Drosophila melanogaster: one gene and its partners. The protein of the gene in region 4 interacts with the protein of the main gene of each other region in a pairwise test. Each region holds a gene or a part of one and is shown on either strand. Other genes may lie near its edges. The genes, in order: RASSF8, CG10841, CASK and Zasp66.

Region 1 (6,335 bases), on a different chromosome or scaffold from region 4:
CGAAGGATTAATCATTTGATCACTCACAGTTGAAAAATGTAAATAAAATAAATATGTTAGCACGAGTTATTTTGTTTACCCAATCTAATATTTAAAGGCCAAGCATCTAACTAAACCCTGCGAAACAGGTTAGCTATACAATCAGACCATATGTTGCAGACCTTTATCTATGGGATTCTACGTGTAAACAAACAAAGCTAATCAGATGATATATGTGTGTTAAACATTCAATTTCCAGTGCTGAGACAGTGAAAGCTCTCATTGAAATGGCTAATTATGCAGTGCTATTATCTCGACCGCAGCTGTATGAGTCTTTTTTGAAAATAGAAAATGCTTAAATGCAGCACGCACGCACACATGCAGCGGCAAAAGGGGCAGCACGGGGGATTCCCCTTTTGAGAGGGGGTCTTCCGGAAACAAGCCAAACATATAGAACACATAGAACGGTGGTGGAAGGAGAAGCAGAAGCAGAAGAGGAGGCAGAGCCAAAAGCAGAAGCGACATGGAAACTAGGTCAACTCTCGACGCCATTGGAGCAGGCGAGTGTCCGACCGAGAGCGACGACAATGACGCCCGTCACACCCAGGCGCAACTAGCTCAAGGCCAAATCCGCACTGCAGCGGGGGGTTTGGGCGAGTCCTTCAACCTTTCGTTGGGCGAATGGTGGGGTGGGCTGCCGTTTTTAGACCGTCCTTGGAAGGGATTTGGATGGGATCTAACCGCATCGCATCTCACTTACCCGCTGCGAAATGCAATGGTGTGGATTTGCGTCCCGCCGTATCCCTGGCGTTCACGGTCTGAGGCGTTATTAGCTTCTTCACCTTGGCGATCTCGCCCGTTTTGCAGGCCTCGAAGAGCTCCCTCAGCGGATCGTTGGCCATGACCGCATCGAGATTAACGCTCAAAATGGCCCGACTTCGGCTGCTGTTGGCCATTGTTGTGCTTGTTTGCTACGCTTTGGCACACACACGCCCCGAAAAAAATAGGCAACAAAAAACAAGCGCAATATTCAGTGGGCTTTCGGGTTTTCCACTCCCAGTCCAGTTCTCTCCTCCAGCAGTTGCTCTGCCCGTCCTACACAAGCCTCGCCGTTGTCCGTCGCTGGCTTGCCCGCATCCTGTATCCAGGTGTCCTGCCTATGCCGCAGGAGCAACAATTTGCCACTGGCTGCCACGCGACCAGCCCTCGTTTTTGCTTAATATTTAATGCACAATTGCAGACCCAAAATCAATAGGATTTCTTTGGTTCGACACAGCACGGTTGCAAGGATCGCGGTTGGCTACGATTCGTTTTTACTGAGACTGCGACCAACTCTGGGACTAGCTCCCTGGTACTTGGCCTCCAAAGCTCTGGGCACGGACGATTATTTCCGGATTAATTCACTGCTCCGCGAAATATTGCATTGTTTTGTGACCGAGTAAGAGTGACCGTTCGCGGGGTGGTCGAATATTCCAGGTTGAGTCAAGCGGTGTGACCAGGCGACGGGGCAAGCCATTCTGAAAAAATACTGAAGTCCTCGAATCACATAAGCTTTTCCATTAATTATATTTTTTAAATTTAATAGCTTATGTTCTCACAAGGTTTTACACAAATTTGTGCTTCAGTGTGCACTCACTATTTGGTGAAAAGCGAAAAGACGTTTGCATCTATATTGTGTTATAAGAAACAATTTTTTTTGTTAACCAAATAGACAATATTCAATTGGTGGTACAAAAATTAAGATCATCATTTTTATGAGCTTAAATTAGAATTCTTAAATTAGAAAAGGCCATGTAGGAATTTCAATTATCCTAATATAAGCACATAAGCCTATTACTAGGGAAAAAATCTCAAAAAAATTTTTTAAAATAATAGCAAGTACCTGTTACAACAACATGCAATCCCAATTGGCATTGCTATCGATAGCTTGAAAAACACCTGTTTGGCCATCCCTGGTTGGCTGTTGGTGCAATCGATTTTTGGCATCGACTGGATGCCCATGCCAACAACAATGTTTGCTTTTAAAATTTAGATTAAATCCGTTAAAAATCCGTGAAATCAAAACAAAAGCAGTGGAGCTGCTTCACAACAAGATTATCGTGCTTACTAGAAAGTGAAGAACCACGGAGTTACCGCGCCGGAAGTACAAAAGTAATCACCAAATCGGAAATCCGAAAAGTGAATCAGAATTTTTCTAGCTCACACACACACGCGCGCATACCCGCACGCCCAGCAAACACTCATGCAAGCGTATGGAACCAGTCGTGTTGTTGTTGTTGCTGTGAATAAGTGCAAGTGAAGAAGAAGCAGAAACTGTGATCGGAAAATTAAGCAAAAAAGAAAAACAGGCGAGGAAAAGTGGGGTTGGGGAAAAGCAGACGGAAAAGTGGAAAGGCGGAGTGCAGCTAACACGCTTCGCTGGCTGCGCGACAGCAGAACGCCAGTCAAGCGCCAAAAACCATTAGTAGAACCCCATTTCCAGCTGGAGCGGCACAAGAAAGCAATTTTCTGGTAGCAGAAACACCAAGAAACGAAAATAATTGGCCGATCTTTAGAGACTCGACTCGACGACAATTAGCCGGAATGGAGCTGAAAGTTTGGGTCGAGGGCATCCAGCGGATAGTTTGCGGCGTTACAGTGAACACCACATGTCAGGTATGTGAGCTACAGCAGAGGTCAAAATAATAGCACTATTATCTTGTTAAAGCATTTTACACTGCTGCAGTGCTGTTAATGTGACCCGAACTGTATGCGCTCTGTTTGCTAGTCAGTTTGCCCTAATTATCGTTTTATTTTCCACAGGATGTGGTTTTTGCTTTGGCCCATGCCACTGGAAAAGTGGGCAGATTCACTTTAATCGAAAGGTGGCGCAATAACGAACGCCACCTGGCCCCCAATGAGAATCCAATGAAGCTGCTGCTCAAATGGGGCGAGTATGCAAATGATGTGCAGTTTATATTACAACGTTCGGAAAACAAAACACAGCAGCAGCAGCAGCAACAACAACAGCAGCAGCAGAACAATAATAATAATAACAACTATGCTGTGATGACAACAACAAAAAAGCCGCTGGGGCCGAACAACAATAACAATAATAAGCCAGCGCCCACTTTGCTAAAGCAAAAGTCGAACGTCGAACTCAGCTACCGCACAAAGGAATTGAAAAAAAGTTTCGGGTGGGTGGTTTTTATATGCTAGTTAGTTTGGAAACTACCCCTTAAAGCGCTTACCTAGCCCTAATTGTTAATAGGCTAACAAACTGTGTTTAAATATGCACCTGTGCGGCTACCATCAACTGACAAAACTTGTCTCTTTCAGGGGCCACGATGCCAAGCAGTTTGACAACATTGGAATCGTCAAGGGAATTCCGCAGCAGCAGCAATTGCAGTCACAACAAACGGCCATGGGAGCACCGGCGAGTCCACCACAGGAGCAGCTGACACCGCAGGATAACAATAATGTAGCACCACTGGTGCCAAAGCATGAGAAATCGCTGTCCAATCCGCTGGACATGACCAGCACGGGTAGCAATCCACCCGCACCTACAAATGGCTACAATGACTTCTACAACAATAACAGCAGCAGTAATCAGCATATATACAGCCAGCTGAGCAAATCCAGCAATGAACTCCGACGCTCCAGTCCCAACGAAATGTACTACAACAATAATAACAATATTGTTAATAACAATAACAACTCACCGGAGCTGTACAAGCAAACGCCGACGATTTCCGCGAATGGAGCTCTAGTCCCACCACCATATCGTGACCCGCCACCCCCGAGAAACAGCCCCATGTGCCAGGGGCAGCGTTTGGCCAGCAGCAATGCGGACACCATGTCCAATGCCTCCTCCTCGACGAATCCGTTTCTCAGCGACTACGATCAGCATAGCAGCCACAACACTAATAGCATCAACAATAATAGCCAGGCCATGGAGGAGGGTGAGCCCATGTTCCAGACCACGCAGTATAACGATTTGCTGCAGCTCATCAAGTTTCAGCGGGAGAAGATCACAGCCCAGCAAATGGAATTGCAAAAGGTACAAATATTCAAGTTTCTAAATTGATTTGGAATGTTATTATTTTATTTTTGTTTTATCTGCTTAGTTCGATACGGAAATAGTTTATTTGGAGAGCAAAGAACGCGACCACGCCCACGAGTTGGATGCTATTTCGCGTGAGATTTCCAAGGCGGATCAAATCTTTCGGCAAGGAAGCGAACAGCTCCAGACTCTGCAGTATGTGGAAGAGGAAAACGAATTGGTCAAGCAGCAAGAGAAGACTTTGAAATCAGAAATAGCTCTACTGCGATCCAAGCTGGCCAATTGCGAAACAGAGCTGCTACAATGCAAGAACAAAATGCGCTTGCTGATGGATGACATTGAGCTGGAGCAGCAACATCAACAGCAGACCAATAGGTGAGTGCATAGCAATTTACTTGCTTTGTTTTAAGTTTTTCACACTTCTTGGTTGTTTCAGGCAAACTGTGGAGCGAGACTTCTTGATGGAAATGGAGCGCATTCAGAGTGAAATCGACCAGGCTCTGCACAACACTGACACTTCAAACAAAACTGCAGATAGTTTAAAGAAGGAACTACTCATGATCGAGCATGCCATCGCGGACAAGAAGCGGCAGGTGGAGCAGCTGGTCAACGAGATGAAGGAGGTGAATTTGCAGAGCCTGACTGTGACCACCACGGAGGAGATCAAGCATCTATTGGAAGGACCCAACAAGCAGGGCAGCAGCCGGCGGATCATCGGTTCGCCCAGGCAACTTGAAACGGCGGTTCCAACCAGTAAAAATCCTCATGGTGTGTGGGTTTAAGTCACACATACCCAGAACTATTTTTCTAAACGTATTTCTCCTCCAACAAAATAATGTTTTTGGGAACAAATTGATCAACATATCTTGAATGCATAATGGAGTTGAAACGAAATGGATTCCTTATGAATATCACAATTTTAAACAATATTCTAAAAATATTTACAATAATTAACGTGCTTGATTGTTGTTTTAGTATGTTTACATTCCAATCACACTCTATGGATCTCTCAATGCAATGATATATGTTACAAATTTGAAATCACAATCGTTTTATTACTCTACATTCCGCACTGTACTTTGTATTTAATAGTAGTTAATGAGTCCCATATTCACATGCCCTAATCTTAATTTTGTGTGCTATACTTTTGGTTAATTTTTGCTGCTAGTCTACGTGTTAACAAAAACCCTTTCCAATCTCTACAATTCGCCATTAGTTGTTAACTTGACAATGAATTTTAATTGTTGCAATAATTCGAGAGTATCGTAATTTAAAAACGCCTTTCTAACGAATAAGTAGTGCCCTTAGTGATTTGTCTCCTACAGAATTATTCATTGTAGAATTCACAATTCGAATTACACAAAACTTATTGTACTTAGCAATTAGCGCAGCTTTAAAAAAACAAATTAGCAATGCTTTGTTGAAAAGTTTAACTTTTAAAGTGCTTAGCCTTAGCCACCGGATATCGAAACAAAAGACCGAAGCATTAACAATTGCAAAGGTATCAAGCATTAGTACATACATAATTGCTAGCGTACAATTAAAAGACAACCCACAAGTCGCTTTGATGTATTATGTTTTTAATTAGCAATATTTAATATTTACACAAACTGATGATGATAGTGAACTACAAAACACCAACGGAAATGCAATTTATCGAATATTATATATTACTATTACATTTAAACTAAAAACGATTTAGAACAAATTGTAATTGCATTACATCTAATTAGCTAATAAATACATTTTTATGATTTTCTCGAAACGAACTGTCTGTATTTACATTTGGTTTTGGTCTTTTGAAACACCACGAATTTTCCGCAAATGAAATCAACGGTCAGCCCGAAGTCCTGTGCCACACGAAGCTAGCTGCTCGGCCGCTTTTCTTGTGCGGAGGGAAAAACAAAATCAGCAACACATGCTGCCACCAGCTTCAGTTGGCCGCTGTGCTCGAACGCGTTTGGTCCTTTTGTCCTTGTCGATATCCTTCGCTCGCGACTCAGACTTCCTGGCGAAGCGCGCGCTACTTTCAATTTTCAAAAAGTGTCGCCCAGTGAACGGGTCAGTGAAAGTGGCCCGTAGGAAATAAAGAGGCAAAGGAGCATACATTTGAATGGTCCGTTTTTGGGGGCATCCTATCGCATTGACACAATCGACAAAGTGGTCGAGGGAGAGCGTTAAAGTGGCCCGCCAGCAAAAAGGACGAAGGAGCGCTCCGTTTTTATGGCCCTCTTCCACACCAAATGATGTTCAATTGCGATGATTGCGATAATGAGAGTCCCAGTTTCTCTGTTTTGGGGATCATGCATCGCCG
Region 2 (5,222 bases), on a different chromosome or scaffold from region 4:
CCACCATATTACATAATATACTAGTACAGAGCAGAGAAAGCGGAAACGATATTAGTTTTTGTTTTCCGGATATGTGTATTACGCTCATAGACTACATATATACATACATAATACATAATACATCTATATTTATGTACACTTCTGAAAGGGAAGAGATTTATATTTTAATAAAAATCTAAAGTCACACTCTCTACGTACACACCCACAATTGTATAGACCACTGCAAGAATGCGAATTGTTAAATCAAATCTATCTATGTATACACTACTATAGCTATATGAAAATCTTTATGAAATCGTCCGACCGTCAAGCTGAATGGATGGCATTAATATATGTAAATGCCGATGTGTGCTGGACGGGCAGTTTAGGTAGCATTTCGAGGAAATCAATACATGGAAGCGTGGATTTTCCCCCTTAAAAAAAAAAAGAAATTAAACATTCTCAAGCGAAATTACAACCTAACTTAATTGAATGATAGGAGATCAGTTTTAAAGCGAACATTACATTAAAGAAACCTAAATTAAAAGAATCCACCAATTGTTTTTTTTATTTTACTGATAACATTCAAAAATTTGGACAAATGATACACTTGGAATTTGGAGAGGGTTAGTTTTCGCGCCACTAATAGTTGCGCTTCATTTGACCGGTGGCAAAGAGCACGTCGAGGATTTTCAGGAACTCCCGGTAGTTGAACTCCATGCACATGCCCTTCTTCACGCCGAAGCACTTGCAGATCGCTTGGAACTCGCGGCTGCTCAGCATTACATGCATGTCGCGCACCGTGATGCCGCGCAGGAATTGATTCTGCGTGATCGAGCCGCACTGTTCGCGATCGAAGTCCTTGAACAGCTGACTCAGATTGGAGATCTCGTCCGGTTTGCGGGCCAACTTCATCAGGGCCTGCGAGCAGATGGTTCGCTCGTCGAAGCTCAGGAAGCAGTCGACGCAGTCCAGATTGGGCAAATGGAGCAGTGGCACGGCGGTCACCACCTGGTCACCCATGTTCGTGTCCAGTTGGATGAAGATCTCGTCGAGGGCCTTGCAGAAATCGCGATAGCGAATGCAGGACACGCGATTCGGTGAACGGAAGCTGGTCATGTTAAAAGGATATAAATGAAATATAATACATATACAAGTTGCGAATTACTCACATGTTGCACAAGATGTTAGCTTCCTCTTCCTTGATGATTACACTTGAGTTATCCAGGGCTCGCTTGAAGTCCGATTCAAGGATCTCGCCCTCGCGATGGCGATCGTAGTCCTTCATGAACTCGATGACGGCCACGCTCTTGACCACAGCCTGTCGCTTGGCGTTCGTAAGGATGCGCACGATCACCTCCTCGCTGACATCCTCGGGATCCAAATTGTCTCTCGCAAACGGTGGACACTCCACCAGTTGCTGCTTGGTGACCAGCGCTGGCATGGCATACTCCGCCGGATCGACGTCGTCCAAAAACTTGGTGTAGCAAAAGCCCAGCTCGTTTCCATACCGACTCAGCACAGAGTCCTGCTCCGGATCGGACAGAAGGATGCCATTGGTGCGAAAAATCTGCTTGGTAATGTTGCAACGCACATGTCCACTGTTGAGTCTGGAAAGGAAACGCCAAATAGTTCAATCTTCATTTAAGATCGGTATCGGTAAACTTACTTATCGTAGCTTCGGAAGAATGGATGCAGATAGAGGCGACGATTGCGGATGCGTATCTTAATCTTGGCCATGGCATCCTCACACAGATCACGAACATTAGCCGACACAGACTCCCAGGGCACGGCGCCGGGTCTGGGCAACTCCTGGATGTGACGAAGTGGCGATTCCACGACACACTGTGGCATCTTCTCCAGGTTCTTAATGGTGAATACTAAAAATATAATACATATATATATATAGAGAGTTTAGTGCTCATAGTGTTCATTACTCTTCACCTGTATCGATCTCATCAGCGAAATTGCGCCAACGCACTCGATTGATATCCACGGGATCAGTGTAGCGTTCCAGCAGAATGGACATTTCCCTTTGGGTCAGATATTTTCCCACTCCCATGTTCGATAGACCGCGCTCAAATTGATTCTTGGTGATGCTGCCCACGTTTAGGCTGTCATAGCACTCTAGGAACTCGGAGGTGCGCACTTGGTTCTTGTAGATGTAGTTCTGAATGCAGAACAGAATGTCGCACTGATTTCGATTCTTTTTGGGTGTACTGCAGGCATCGGGAAAGATTGGATGCACTGCCTTGCAACCATCAATAGCTGGCAGTTGGGAAAGTTCTAGGTCCACTAAACGTCCCGGAAAGTCCTTGATAATATCCTACATTCGGAACACATTTCATCATACGCGCGAATTCTTTAGCATTGAAGTTAGCACTTACATGTGAGTTGTCCAGCAGATGATGCTCGCCCAGGTATGCTATAATATTATCGATGTGCTTGAGGAAAGCCACATAGTTGACCAGGTAACCATCCTTCATATAGCGTCTGAGGAGGAGCAGAAAATCGGACTCCGAAAGTGGTATCTTCATAAAGTGCAGCACACGAGAAAAGTGCGCAACGGTAACAACTCCAACATTTTGTGCAATCTATAAATAAATGTAATAGCTTATTAATATGGTGGATATATGATTAAGCAAATCAATTACTAGTTCGTAGTCCTGAAAGTAGGGCATGAGCGGAATATTGCATAGTTGGGCAATCTTGAGCAGGATCAGGCAGAGACGTCGTCGATCCTCCGGCTGGGGTACAACATTCACATGCCAGGGATCGTTCCACTCCAGTCCCGTAGCTAGATCACTTTTGGCGGTCTTATGCAGTGCTAAAATTATATGTTAAATAGATATAGCATTGATACAATTTAACCAAAAACCAACTTACTTTCGCTGCAGACGACCTTGCAGAACTGACGATACGCTACGCGTCCATCTCGAATTTGGAAATAGTCAGTGACATCCCGGAGTTCCGACTCGGACAATCCGGCCACCTTGCGATACTTGCCCAGCACGGCGGTGAAAATGGGCTCTGGAGTAGATGGGTTAGGTCGTAAAAAGGGGGCGCAATAAAAATGGGAAATACATCCGAAGGATGTGCTCACCGGACACGAAGCCACTGCAACAGGGATCATGCTGCTTTAAGTCGGCGCAGATGTCAAAGTTATAACGAAAAATGGCGCCCTGGATTTTACGACATCCTCGCCAGATTTGATTTAGCTCCATCTCCTCCTAAACGGTGGCATTCAAATTAGTTGAATACGTTTAATGGCCAACACATATGACTGGCAATAGAATGGACAACTCACTCTGTCATCACCCTCTTTAATCTTGGTCGAATGCATCTTGGTTTGGTAAAAACTTTTTTCGGATTTTTTATTTTTCGATTTGCAGCACAATATGTGGAAAATGTTTACAAAACTCCTTAAAAGGTGTAAGGGTGTCTGTTTGTGTGTGTGTGTGTTAGCGGTAACCCGTTGAAACAATGAAATCAAGGGCTACTTGGCCAGCTTGGCCATTACAAATTGGATTTCTCCGCTGCGCCGTGTTTGCTTTGTTCCCGTTTCTCCCAGGATGCCGCGACTCACGCAAGGAAGCCGTCGAGCAGTGCTACACTAATCACTTCCTTCGCTGGCAGGACGCAAGGACCTGGGACCTGGGTCCCGGTGGCCAGGAGCCGGCTTTCACTTTTCTACAAATCGCCTCAAATCACGCGCTCATTCGTCCAGCAGTTTGTCGCAATGCCACCAACACTTTGATTCAATTTTCTATAAATGGCAGGGGTGAAGGAAAACAGCATGGGAAAACAAAAGGGGTGAGGGAAAAATATCACAATGATTGAAAAAAAAAAAACATCCTGGCATCATCAAATGCAATTTCATTTTATTGGAAAATCGCTGGCCAACCAACCAAGCAAACCGCATCTAAAGCCAACTAACAGTAACAAATCACTGGAAAAATAGCAATTACAAACTAAGTATTTTAAAATGTATATAAACATTTGGAAATTATTGTATAATTTTTTAAAGTCTCTTAATAGCAGTTAAGAAAAGAATCCAGTGTTAATATATTGTTAATATAGTTTCCTACTTTTAAACACCGTTCAAAGTGATTTTTAGACTCTATTGACATTTTTACGCACCTGATGTTGCCTCAAAATATTTACCTCAGTGTGGCAGCAGCAAAAGGCAACCTTGTGCAGAACTGACTCTTATGTTAGTAACCTAACCCAGTGACCCTACCACCCTGCAACGCCCAGTTCTAGTCAAGGTTGATTGGCGACGACAGGTGCCCATACACCCGTACACCTGCCCACTTCAAACTGGCCATTCTGGCCACTTCTGGCCACGCGACTAAAAATAAGCTAAAGGGCGGTCCTTGCTGGCATTTCTAGTGTTTGTTTAGATGCCCTTTTTGTTCCCAGAGTCACGAATGTCGCACTCTTATGGAGTCAATGCGCCAAATGCCTAGGTAAATATCATTGTTGGTGCAGTGATATTAATGTAGCATGATTGCATGAAAATGCTAAAGGTTAAAATGCACATATTTAGCAAAAATAAAGCTATATAATTTCTATAGAATTATACTAGTATTTTGGTCCTCCAAGCCGCATTAAATGTTTTACAATAAGCATTTAACTATTCTGCAATATACACAACTATAACTTATGATTCTACATTATAAGTCAAAAATTCTAGAATTTTGGTCCTTCAAACCGCATTCAATAATTTTAATAAGCATATAGCATCATTGGATGTTAATTTCATAAATCTAAAGCGGCACATTAGGTGTGATTTAAATTGACCCGTTTAGCATAAAATGGTTTTATTACGCTCCGTTTTGTTGCAAATCTCCGTGTTTAATTAAATTTGTTTATATGCGTGTCGGCAAATTGGTTTGCAGAATCGTAATACCCGGAAACGGTTAGTTGGCAGTCATAAAAATGAATTGCAATCATTATCGTTGCTTAGATGAGGTTTGCAGCCATCCAATTCCGCACAACCCCCCTGCGTTACCTTTGAAGCGTGCTTTATTGCAATTTTTATTGCACATTTTTGATTTACTCAGCCATTGAAGCCACGGGCTTTTGAGCTGCCGGAGCTGGTTTCTGGTTGGGGCATTTGGCTTTTGGCCCGGGGCTATGTGCGTGTGGGTTGATGGCCAGGACATCGATTTGCTCGTGTTTTGTCCTTACTGCCTGACCCGTTTGATTTGATGCGGTGTTAAATTATAATTACAGGTTGG
Region 3 (4,757 bases), on a different chromosome or scaffold from region 4:
GCTCAGTCCAGGACTCGCTGTGAACTTGGCCACATCAACGATTTTGACGGCAAACTGCTGATTGGACTCCCTGTGTATGCATCGCCTTACGATGGAGAAAGGTCCTCTGTAAGAAACAATCCCGGATGGGGGGGGAATAAAGTAAATTCGGATTAAACTTCAATTGAAAGTTGATTGTGTCTAAATGGGAGCGAATAAAATTTTATCTTGCTTCGACAAAAGCAAAATATTTATATTTTCCGAGCGTCTAAAAGCAAACAAGATACTTGAGAAAGAGGAAATTTAATCAACTATGTATTCTCTTTGTAGTTACAAACGTGGGGTTTTAATACAAAAGCTTGCCATAACATTACTGATGATTATTTTACAAATAAATTTTAATTTTCTTACAAATTCCTATTCAATAACTCATTTAAAGTCAAGCAACGATTTCCTATCATCTTGTTTTATGAGCGTGATTAATTTTTATTGAACTATGTCACCAAGCTGAATTTGGAAAACTATTGCGATTCAAGGTCGTCATTTTGCTTATAGTTTATAGATTATAAATTGCAAAAAATTAAAAAACGTGCTATTTAGTGACTCACACTTCATTTTCAATAAACTTTAGAAGTGTGTTAATGGAACATTTTCAACATCAGTGAAAAATATTTTTCCAACGAAATTAAACAAAGTTCAACTTAATAACATTGACAGCTTTGTGAATGAACTTCTGGCTAAACTATGATGATCACAGCAAAAGTAACTAGCACAGAAAATGTTTGGTCATACATTTTTGAATAATGCAAAAGTTGGGCGTTTGGGAAAGTTTTTTATAGAGGGGAGCTGGCTTCGTCCCAGGCCAATAGTTGCATGATTTACGGCTTCTGGGTGGGTGGGATGGGCATACGGGGCGGATACATAATACATAATGAGATAATGGCCATGGATGCCAGCTGTCAGCAGCAGAATCGGCTAAAGATATAGCCGGTGGGGCGCTAACTTACTTGCCAATGACCTCGCACAGCTCGTAGACGTCGTCAAAGAGAATTTCGTCTTCGGTCATTTTGAATAATTGATGAATTGATGCCTCGACTCAATTGCTTTTTCGAATATTGATGAGTTGTGTCCTGTTTTTCGTGTCCGTCGCTTTTCCTTCTCCCGCTTCCTTTGCCCGTCGTCGCCTACTGCCCTCCAAAAACGAACATAAAAAATAAACAAAAAACTAAGCGGCCAGTGAGCAACTCCAAAACTTTGAGCGTTTTCCTTCGGTTTCTTCTGATGATTTGTTGTTAATGGTATTGTTATTGGTGTCGTTGATTCGTTGTTGCCGCTAATGCTGTTGCTGTTTTCGTAGCTGCTGATGTTAAGAATGCATTTTGCGCTGGAAAAATATAACAAGTGAAAATGGTGAAGGTGAGTTTTTCCATTAGTTGAAGGCCGCTAATCAGATTTATTTGGCGTCTAATTAAGAAACTGTCAAGAAGCTTTGCGAGAATTCTGTCAAGCAGATGACGCAAATATAAACAAATTTGTTTACATTTGTGAAAAATTATACACAGATTTTAATCAAGAAAATTTGCTAATAATTTCCTAAATATTTTGTAATCTTACTTACAAACTAAGTTAAGTTTATAATGCTATCTGAATCAATCAAATTGAAAATGCCACTATAAAGTTGGGCTGGCGTGTTGACACTTGTGTGATGGGAACACTTTTCGAGGGACCACTGTTAATGGTGTCGCAACGGAAATGAGACTGGCCTGGCCGAAACTTGTTTGATATGTCAATCACACTCATATCAGGTGTAAACCCCAATCAATTACAGGCGGCACACACCACAAATGCACAAAATGCTGTCGAAAGTGCCAATGGTAGGAAGGAAGTATCCCCGCACAGTGGGCGTTGTGAATTTTGCAACGGAAATGATGGCCAGCTGAAAAGGTAAACAAGCCAGCAGGACCTGCAGAATGTGTCCTTTTCGAGGGTCTCGTTCCAAGGATGTTCGCGGGGAAAGTTCGCAGGGGGGGAGGGTGGATGGGAGGCGCTACCTTTGTCTTGGCCATACTATTATTATGCCTTTTGGTCCAGCACTTGAACATACTTTTCAAAACTTTGATGGCACTCCAAAAATCCGAAAGGAGAAAGCCAGAGAGCGAGAGAGTGTGAAAGAGAGCGAAGGAGTGCGAGAAAGATGGCGAGCATGGATGTAAAGTGCGCCGGCGCCGTGGGAAATTCGTGTAAAGCACCAAAATTGTAATCGTAAAAAATATAAGCTATGCTTTCTGCCCGGGCTGCATGAATATTTAAATGTGCAACAATTTACGATGCACACACGAAATGTGGAGAACTGAGTTGCGACTGCGAGAGCAGGACGGAGCATTTGCGGGGAATCCCCGCGAAGGACTTTCTGGTAGTCATGTTTAATGCAGAGCTGCGCATGGGGCGCGGTGTTTTTGGCTCGGTTTTAGTATTCGGGCTCGAGGGTTTTACCTTGCTCGTGTGCCGCTGTTGTAAAATGCCTTGACACTTTCCACACGACCTTACCGCCCACCTCACTAACGCACCCACCCACACCCACATACACTCACTCACTGACTATGTGTGTGCATTTGGCCCTGCTTTTAGGACTTTTTGAGACTCTCGAGTGTCGCACAATTGGCAAATTGATTCTTTGTCTAAAGGATTTGCATTGCTCATGTTCCACGCCCCCTTATCAACGACACCGCCCCCTTTATCGGCCACACATAGAGGGGGCCACACTCACACCACACACACACACACACACACGAACACACACTGGCACGAACAATTCGCATATAGTTTTATGTACGAAAACCCACCGATTTGGCAGCGATTCTTCAACGGCCGCTGGTTTTTGGCATTTTAGCGAATCGCATTAGCACTCGATTGTCTAGGTGCGCAGCACGAATCGCCTGGCAAGCTGATTGCATTGGGTAATTTACTAATTTTAACTTAAAACAAACACGGCCCGTGAGGAATTGATTGGCGAAGAACTGGTTGCAACTGAACCGGTTCGCCGCGAACTAGAATTCCAGGGCTGCAGGTGCATTGCTGGATTGGTTCGGAACTTGGAGTCGGTTCACGGCTCTCCCATTGAAAATTGATACCAACCTGTGTTCATTAAAAATATTGTTTTTAAAATAAATTTAAGGGTGGTACTGCAGCAACTTACTTCGTTAATCAAAGTTTTAATTCAAGAAAGTTTGTTTGAATCAAGCAACTGGTTATACTGGAAAAATACCAGAAACCCGTTGGTATCTAAGCTTTTCTGTCATTTTGTTATTAACTTTATTTGGTCTGTTAAAATTTGCGCGGAAGTTTTTGAAAAAAAGTTTTGGGGACGAGAAAGTATAATTTTGGAATATTGTTAAGAATATAGTCATTCATAACGACACAGATGTTTTATCGAAATTGAAAATAAATACTATTAAAACTTTAATTTTGTTAAAGAAAAAGTAAATTATATTTTCCTGCTCCTTTCTCTTCGGTAGCATTTTGCATATGCTTTTATTTGCTTGACTTATCAGCAAAAGGCAGTTGTTTTCCTTTGATAAATACCCACTGCATGCTTAATAAATTTACTCGAAAGTAAGATAATTCATTGCACACTGAATTGTTTCCGCTTGAGTGAAGTCAAATGGAGGTAAATATTTATGCGGTACGCAAGCAAGTGCATAAAGCTATTGTGGAATATTGCACATACGAATTTCGAACACTTTCCAGTTTTATCGGCAATACGATGCCAATTACCATTCATCAACTTGAAAGTAAACATTTTCCCCTTCAAAAATGATTCACGATTTATTTAACTGGACTAAGCCACCAGTGTGTTAATACAGGGATTTTCACTACAGAACCTTTATCAACTTACTTTATCGCCAGGCTCGTTCACAGCTCATTGAATATTACCATATTATTTACATTACTTCTCTTTCGCGCCATTCAACTTTATCTATTATTATTATTATTACCCCACAGCATTTGATAAACCCATTAGAATAAATTAAGATCTTGGCATTAATATGCCAGGCACACACACAGGAGTCCCTCAACCGAAGACGAGGAAAACCCACACGCACTCCTCGAAAATAAAAAATAAAAACCGTAGGTGCGTAATCTTTAAATCAGTTGGAAGGGGCTGGTGACGGGGGCCAATACTCAAACATAAACATCATCAATTACAAAACCTCGAACAGCAACAACAACAACAATCACCGCCAAACGCCCAACGACAACAACACACAGATAAGATGCAAGAGAAACAACAAGCCAATAAGGGAGCAACAAACACAAAACCATCAGCCAAATGAAGAAAGACCTGATGAAAATGAACTCAATATGGCCATATTACTACGGGGGATATAGTCGAAAAGGATAAGCACCAACAACCATTTCGAGATGAGCAGCAAAAACAACAAGTGTTAATGATCAGCAATAACAACAGTGGTCACCCACTAATGTCCACCTTTCGATTGTAAAATAGCAGCCAATTAAATTATACGCACTATGAAATATTCAGAAATAATAAAAAAGTAATTAATTTTTTTTTTAATTTATACAACTTCTTTCATAATTTGTGAGATCAATCAAATAGTTTGGGTATAAACTAAAAAGTACACACCTTCCTCATTCTTAAGTGGTTTTACCTACTTGTATCAGCCAGCTAAAATATATAGAAAAGAAAAAAAAATTTTGTTTTTTTATTTAAAACGCGAATCTTGAAAAATATATATATATAAAAATATTATCCAATT
Region 4 (4,936 bases):
GTCATATCACAGACCATACAAAAGAAAAATCAGTTCCTAACGTTTCTTAGTGCAAATTGATCCAAGACGAAGGTTTCCTTTTGGCAATGGAGTAAAACTTAAGTTAAGTTTTTTATACTATGACTATAATCAACTAACTTTTATGATGATAAAAGCCCTGTTTAAAAAACAGAAAACTAAAATGAAGGTGTTCTCTTTACTCAATACACTTGACACTCGTAGAAGAAATTGATGTTAAACATACGGAACTGATTGGTATCTTTGATGCAGATACACGGATTTCCTGGCTCACCTGTGCACCACCAGGCGGATCTCGTTGCCAGCGCCGCGGAACAGCTGCTGTGCATCCGCATGACTCAGGTCGCGTGCGTCGTACTCGCCGATCTTCGAGATGATGTCGCCTCTTAGAAGTTCGCCATGCGCTGGGCTGCCCACTTGCACCTGCAACGGGTGGGGTGGAAAAGGAGGTGGGAAGGTCATTAGACACACATAGTATAGGGTGCAACGGGCTGGTTGCAACCTTGACACAGATTTATGGGTGCCTAAATAGATGCAGACAGAATTATGATCGCCAAAATGTGTGTGTTTACATCGCAGCTCAGTGAAAAGGGGGTAGGTAGGAAAAGTGGAAATTTTCTTCGACTATTCGGTTGCGCCTCAATTAGTTTTACTGGCGTCGCATTTTGGCAACGCTGCAGCGTTTATTGTTGCTGTGCCCGTTTCGCTATTTTGATTTGTTGTTGTTTATTTGGGCGCTGAGAACAAAGCGGCATGCGGGGCACAAAGGCCAATCGCTTTTCCTCAGGCATTTCTTCTCTGGCTCAATTTTGATGAATGGACCACAAGCGACCACAAGGCGACAGTCTCTCTGGTTATATAACGCCCATTTACCCTGGTGATAATTAGCGGCGTGTCCAGATCGTTGCCGCCCACCAAACGAATGCCCCAGGGCGTGGCCTGACCATCGCGCAGTAGCACCACCGCAAACTCATGCAGCTTGGGGCTCATCCTGATGTTGAAGATAGACTGGAAGATCAGACGCTCATCCGATCCAGCGATGGTTTATCCCGAAAATATATATTTATTTTTTATTGTTTATTTTTTTTTCTGGCCTTTTCTGGCCGAGCCGCAGGCGGCGCGCGATTGCAATCCGTTAAGCGTTTTGTTCGATCGCAAAGCTGCTCAAGTACTAATTTTAAAATACAATTCGTATTCCTTTTTGCAGCAACAGCAGCGGCAGCAGAGTACACTGCGCCACAAGTTTGTTTCTTACATACACATATGTACATACATGTACAACTTATATCCGCCGGCAACGGCGACTACATGCTGAGAAACATGAATTCGATTGGCGAATCCTAATCGTTAAATGGGGTTTCCGCTAAGAGCACTCTGAATTTCTCAGAGCGGATGTCGTGGATTCAAAAAGCATCAGGAGCATTTACCTCGGCAAAGCTCATAATTACCACAAGATAATTAGGCGTATACTTGATAAGCGGCTGCATATCAAATTACGCATACGCAGTGTTAATAAACATGATTGCTTGCATGTGTGCCATGTATTTAAAGCTTTACTATTTTCATTATTATATATACCCAAATCGCGAAGAGCATCCGCAAGCCACCACAAACTCAAACCTTTTCCCACATTGTTCCCATTGTTTAATTCGACGTGTGCCCTGCATTTGTGGCATTCTGCATTTCGTTGACCACATTTTAGGGCAGCACTTGATCCAGTTGCACGCTGACCCTGAAGAGATGAATGCCACATATCATCATCTAGGCGAATGCTTTGATGAGCTAGCTCGCCTGATGCAAAAAAGCATAAAAATCAAGTATCTAGGCATCTGTTTTTCCTCGACATTTTCGACTATTTTATTAGTGTTTTATTCCTCTCCGACTTGTTTGCCGAACGATGAGGCAACCAAGAGAGAGTGTAATTAGTTTTAGTTACTGAGGCGGTACTAGCACAACTGCAACAACCAATTCGACACTCTTGCCCAATTTAAATAAGCAAATCATATTAGATTTTTAATGCATTAGTCAATGGAAAAGTCTACGGCCAACGTGACGTATACGCAATATGAACGGGTCAACGGTTGAAGGACGTTGGTTTGTATTAAACATTCTGTCTGCCTCTCGATTTTGGCAACAATTTTACTGTTTACAGCGGAAAAATCTTTTCCTGCCTTTTGGCTTTTCGCTGAATATATACACAATATATGGCTTGCCATTTCATTTTTAATTTTATACATTCTGATTTCGGCACTTTTTGGCTGGCTCTTGAAATGTTTTTACTATTTGCGGCTTGAATTGTTTTCATTTCATTTTCAATTGGAATTCGTGTAATGTTTTTACGGTGACTTTTGCTGTAGATCAGCCTTGAGCGGATTGTAAATCATTCGAAATTCTTCACCCAACGTCTTGCGAATGGTATAAAAGTCATGCCAATGGAAATATAGATCCATCCATCTTTTTTGGGCCATTTTACTTGACCGAAAAGTGCAGCAGTGGCCAATTAATTAGATTTGGCTTGACAAATTTACGAGCCGCAAGGGGCGAAATGTTATTGAACTGATTTCTGAGTCGGCCTGTTGTGAATTGGGGCCACAAATACATTGGAATACGAATAAGAAAAGAACACACGCGCGATGATTGACAAGCCGGGCGATTTGAAAGGGGTTGGGGCTTCCACTTTTCTCGGCCACTTGGACTTACCCCCACGTTTTGCTCATCGGCAAAATGGACGCGCTTCTTCAGTCCGCTGCTGCTGCGCCGCCTGCAGGGCGATGGCAGCGGTACGAGCGGCGGTTTTGGGGTCGGCTGTGGACGATAGGACGTGGGCAATTCGTAACCGGGCACCTTCCAGAAAGCCGGTCGACTGAATGACGCGGACGCCGATGATCTGCTGGTCGTCATTGCTGGCCAGCGACTAGAGTAAACAAAAGAAATGCTCCGCACATTCAGAAATATGCGCTAAATTCTACGATTCGAACGCGTCTGCTCGCGACTGCGTGTGTGTGTGCACTAGTAGGCAATTGAAAAATCAAATAAAAGCGGAGAAAAAATCAGAGAAAATGAGCGAAAACAGAATATTATTATTCATTCAAAATCCAGTGAAATAGTGAGACGCGGAGAATTATGAATGGATTAATTGATGTTTCAGTTAGTAAATTTGATTGAGCAAAGAAAATACATACAAGCAATATCTAATAATCATGATTTAATCATTTTCATTTACAATTTAAACAATAGCGCCTTCAGCTTTACAAGATCTGGCAACCAGCTTAAAAACAGTTTTTCAATTAATTAATTAAAAAGAACAATACAATTAAGACAGAAGGTAATTACATACATTTTTACGAGGACAGTAAACCATTTAAAATTTCGATTTATTTATAAAATTTAATCGTTAAAAACTTTGAATTTTACCGCCCAATGCACTCAAAAATCGATAGTCGCAGAGAATAATCGATTAGAGCTCGAACCATCTGGCAACGCCCATTGTTTTGTTGTGTTTTATACCTGCAGATTTCACCCAGCATAAAACTGAGATAAAGCTTTAATTAATTACACATAGGGGTACTGCAAGATCTCAGCATAGCCCCGCCCACATAAAGCCGCAGCATGTCTATTTTCAAGGCGCGGTAAGCTGTTATTCTAAGCTAATCCAAACTTCTCCGTAAACAAAGACTTTCTCTAACCAAAATGCAGAGTCAAGGAATTTGAGGATGTTTTGGCGGGGCCACAGGATTTAATTGACCTGAAACAACTCAGGAAACTGGCATTTAATGGTAGAAAGCTAAGAGTGCATTTGAAATGTTCAAAATTTGAAGTCTGAGCACTCCACAGGTGTGCCCGATGTGCAGAGTTTTCGAGCACTCAGTTGGAAGCTACTCCTTGGCTATTTGGGGCCTAGGCGCAGTAGTTGGACCACAACCTTGGCCCAAAAGCGAGCCCTGTATAAACAGTTCATCGAGGAGCTAGTCCTGCCCCCCGGACACTCGAGCAATAGAGCTAGCGTAGACGGAGGAGATGGGGACAAAGTCGATTCGGGGGGCGTTGGCCTGCAAGATCATCCGCTGAGCGAGGGACCCGAAAGCGCGTGGAACACGTTCTTCAATGATAACGAGTTTCTACTGCAAATCGACAAGGATGTCCGCCGCTTGTGCCCGGACATATCCTTTTTCCAGCAGCCCACCGATTATCCCTGCGAGATTGTGGTCCACAGCAAAGGAGAGCATGGACGAAGGCTCCACGAACGGGTGGTTCCCGCCGTTCTAAGTTCGGCGAATGTGGAACGCAAGGGCCTCGGCATGACAAAGGTGAGTTCAAGATCGGAATTGTGCTAGACAATAAGCTCAGAATGTGTTGTTTCATTCATGCATACCGTGTGGATTTTAGCAGCAAGTAAGTAAGCCCATCTGGAACTGCCCCAAACCTAATGAATATGTGTGCTCTATATAGATAAATTTGATTACAAAACGCTCCGTTGAAAACTATGCCGCCATGGAGGAGGGCCAAGAGGCTCACTGGGAAGTTGTGCAACGCATTTTGTTCATCTATGCCAAACTAAATCCCGGCCAGGGATATGTCCAGGGCATGAACGAAATCGTGGGACCCATTTACTATGTTATGGCCTCCGATCCTGACCTCACATATCGCGCCCACGCTGAGGCTGATTGTTTCTTTTGTTTTACCGCCCTGATGAGCGAGATAAGAGACTTTTTTATTAAAACACTAGACGACGCAGAAGGCGGCATCAAGTTCATGATGGCCAGGCTATCGAATATGCTGAAATCAAAGGACCTAAGCATTTACGAGCTACTCAGGAGCCAAGAGCTGCATCCGCAGTATTACAGCTTCAGGTGGCTCACACTGCTCCTGTCGCAGGAGTTTCCACTGCCAGATGTACTGCGCATTTGGGATTCCGTGT

The links.
Region 1: the proteins of Zasp66 (region 4) and RASSF8 interact in a two-hybrid assay, tested with the Drosophila melanogaster proteins (one large-scale study listed by BioGRID).
Region 2: the proteins of Zasp66 (region 4) and CG10841 interact in a two-hybrid assay, tested with the Drosophila melanogaster proteins (one large-scale study listed by BioGRID).
Region 3: the proteins of Zasp66 (region 4) and CASK interact in a two-hybrid assay, tested with the Drosophila melanogaster proteins (one large-scale study listed by BioGRID).

The regions. Positions count from the first base shown.
Region 1 is NT_033777.3:25,659,853-25,666,187, forward strand, and holds RASSF8 (Ras association domain family member 8), read left to right. Parts: upstream 1-1,942; 5' UTR 1,943-2,562; coding exon 2,563-2,634; exon of another isoform or gene 2,635-2,781; coding exon 2,782-3,155; intron 3,156-3,297; coding exon 3,298-4,018; intron 4,019-4,085; coding exon 4,086-4,396; intron 4,397-4,457; coding exon 4,458-4,803; 3' UTR 4,804-5,788; downstream 5,789-6,335. Other genes in the region: Tnks (tankyrase), read right to left, coding at 740-935.
Region 2 is NT_033777.3:13,630,162-13,635,383, reverse strand, and holds CG10841 (uncharacterized protein), read right to left. Parts: upstream 3,443-5,222; 5' UTR 3,323-3,442; coding exon 3,287-3,322; intron 3,210-3,286; coding exon 3,083-3,209; intron 3,010-3,082; coding exon 2,866-3,009; intron 2,807-2,865; coding exon 2,634-2,806; intron 2,574-2,633; coding exon 2,367-2,573; intron 2,306-2,366; coding exon 1,924-2,305; intron 1,860-1,923; coding exon 1,649-1,859; intron 1,590-1,648; coding exon 1,152-1,589; intron 1,091-1,151; coding exon 622-1,090; 3' UTR 523-621; downstream 1-522.
Region 3 is NT_033777.3:21,819,661-21,824,417, forward strand, and holds the start of CASK (CASK), read right to left. Parts: upstream 3,015-4,757; 5' UTR 2,823-3,014; intron 1,364-2,822; 5' UTR 1,046-1,363; coding exon 987-1,045; intron 107-986; coding exon 1-106.
Region 4 is NT_037436.4:8,622,466-8,627,401, reverse strand, and holds the start of Zasp66 (Z band alternatively spliced PDZ-motif protein 66), read right to left. Parts: upstream 3,032-4,936; 5' UTR 2,920-3,031; coding exon 2,719-2,919; intron 1,194-2,718; exon of another isoform or gene 1,009-1,193; coding exon of another isoform or gene 892-1,008; intron 442-891; coding exon 293-441; intron 1-292. Other genes in the region: GAPsec (GTPase activating protein, SECIS-dependent read-through), read left to right, coding at 3,628-3,647, 3,715-3,794, 3,853-4,325, 4,468-4,936.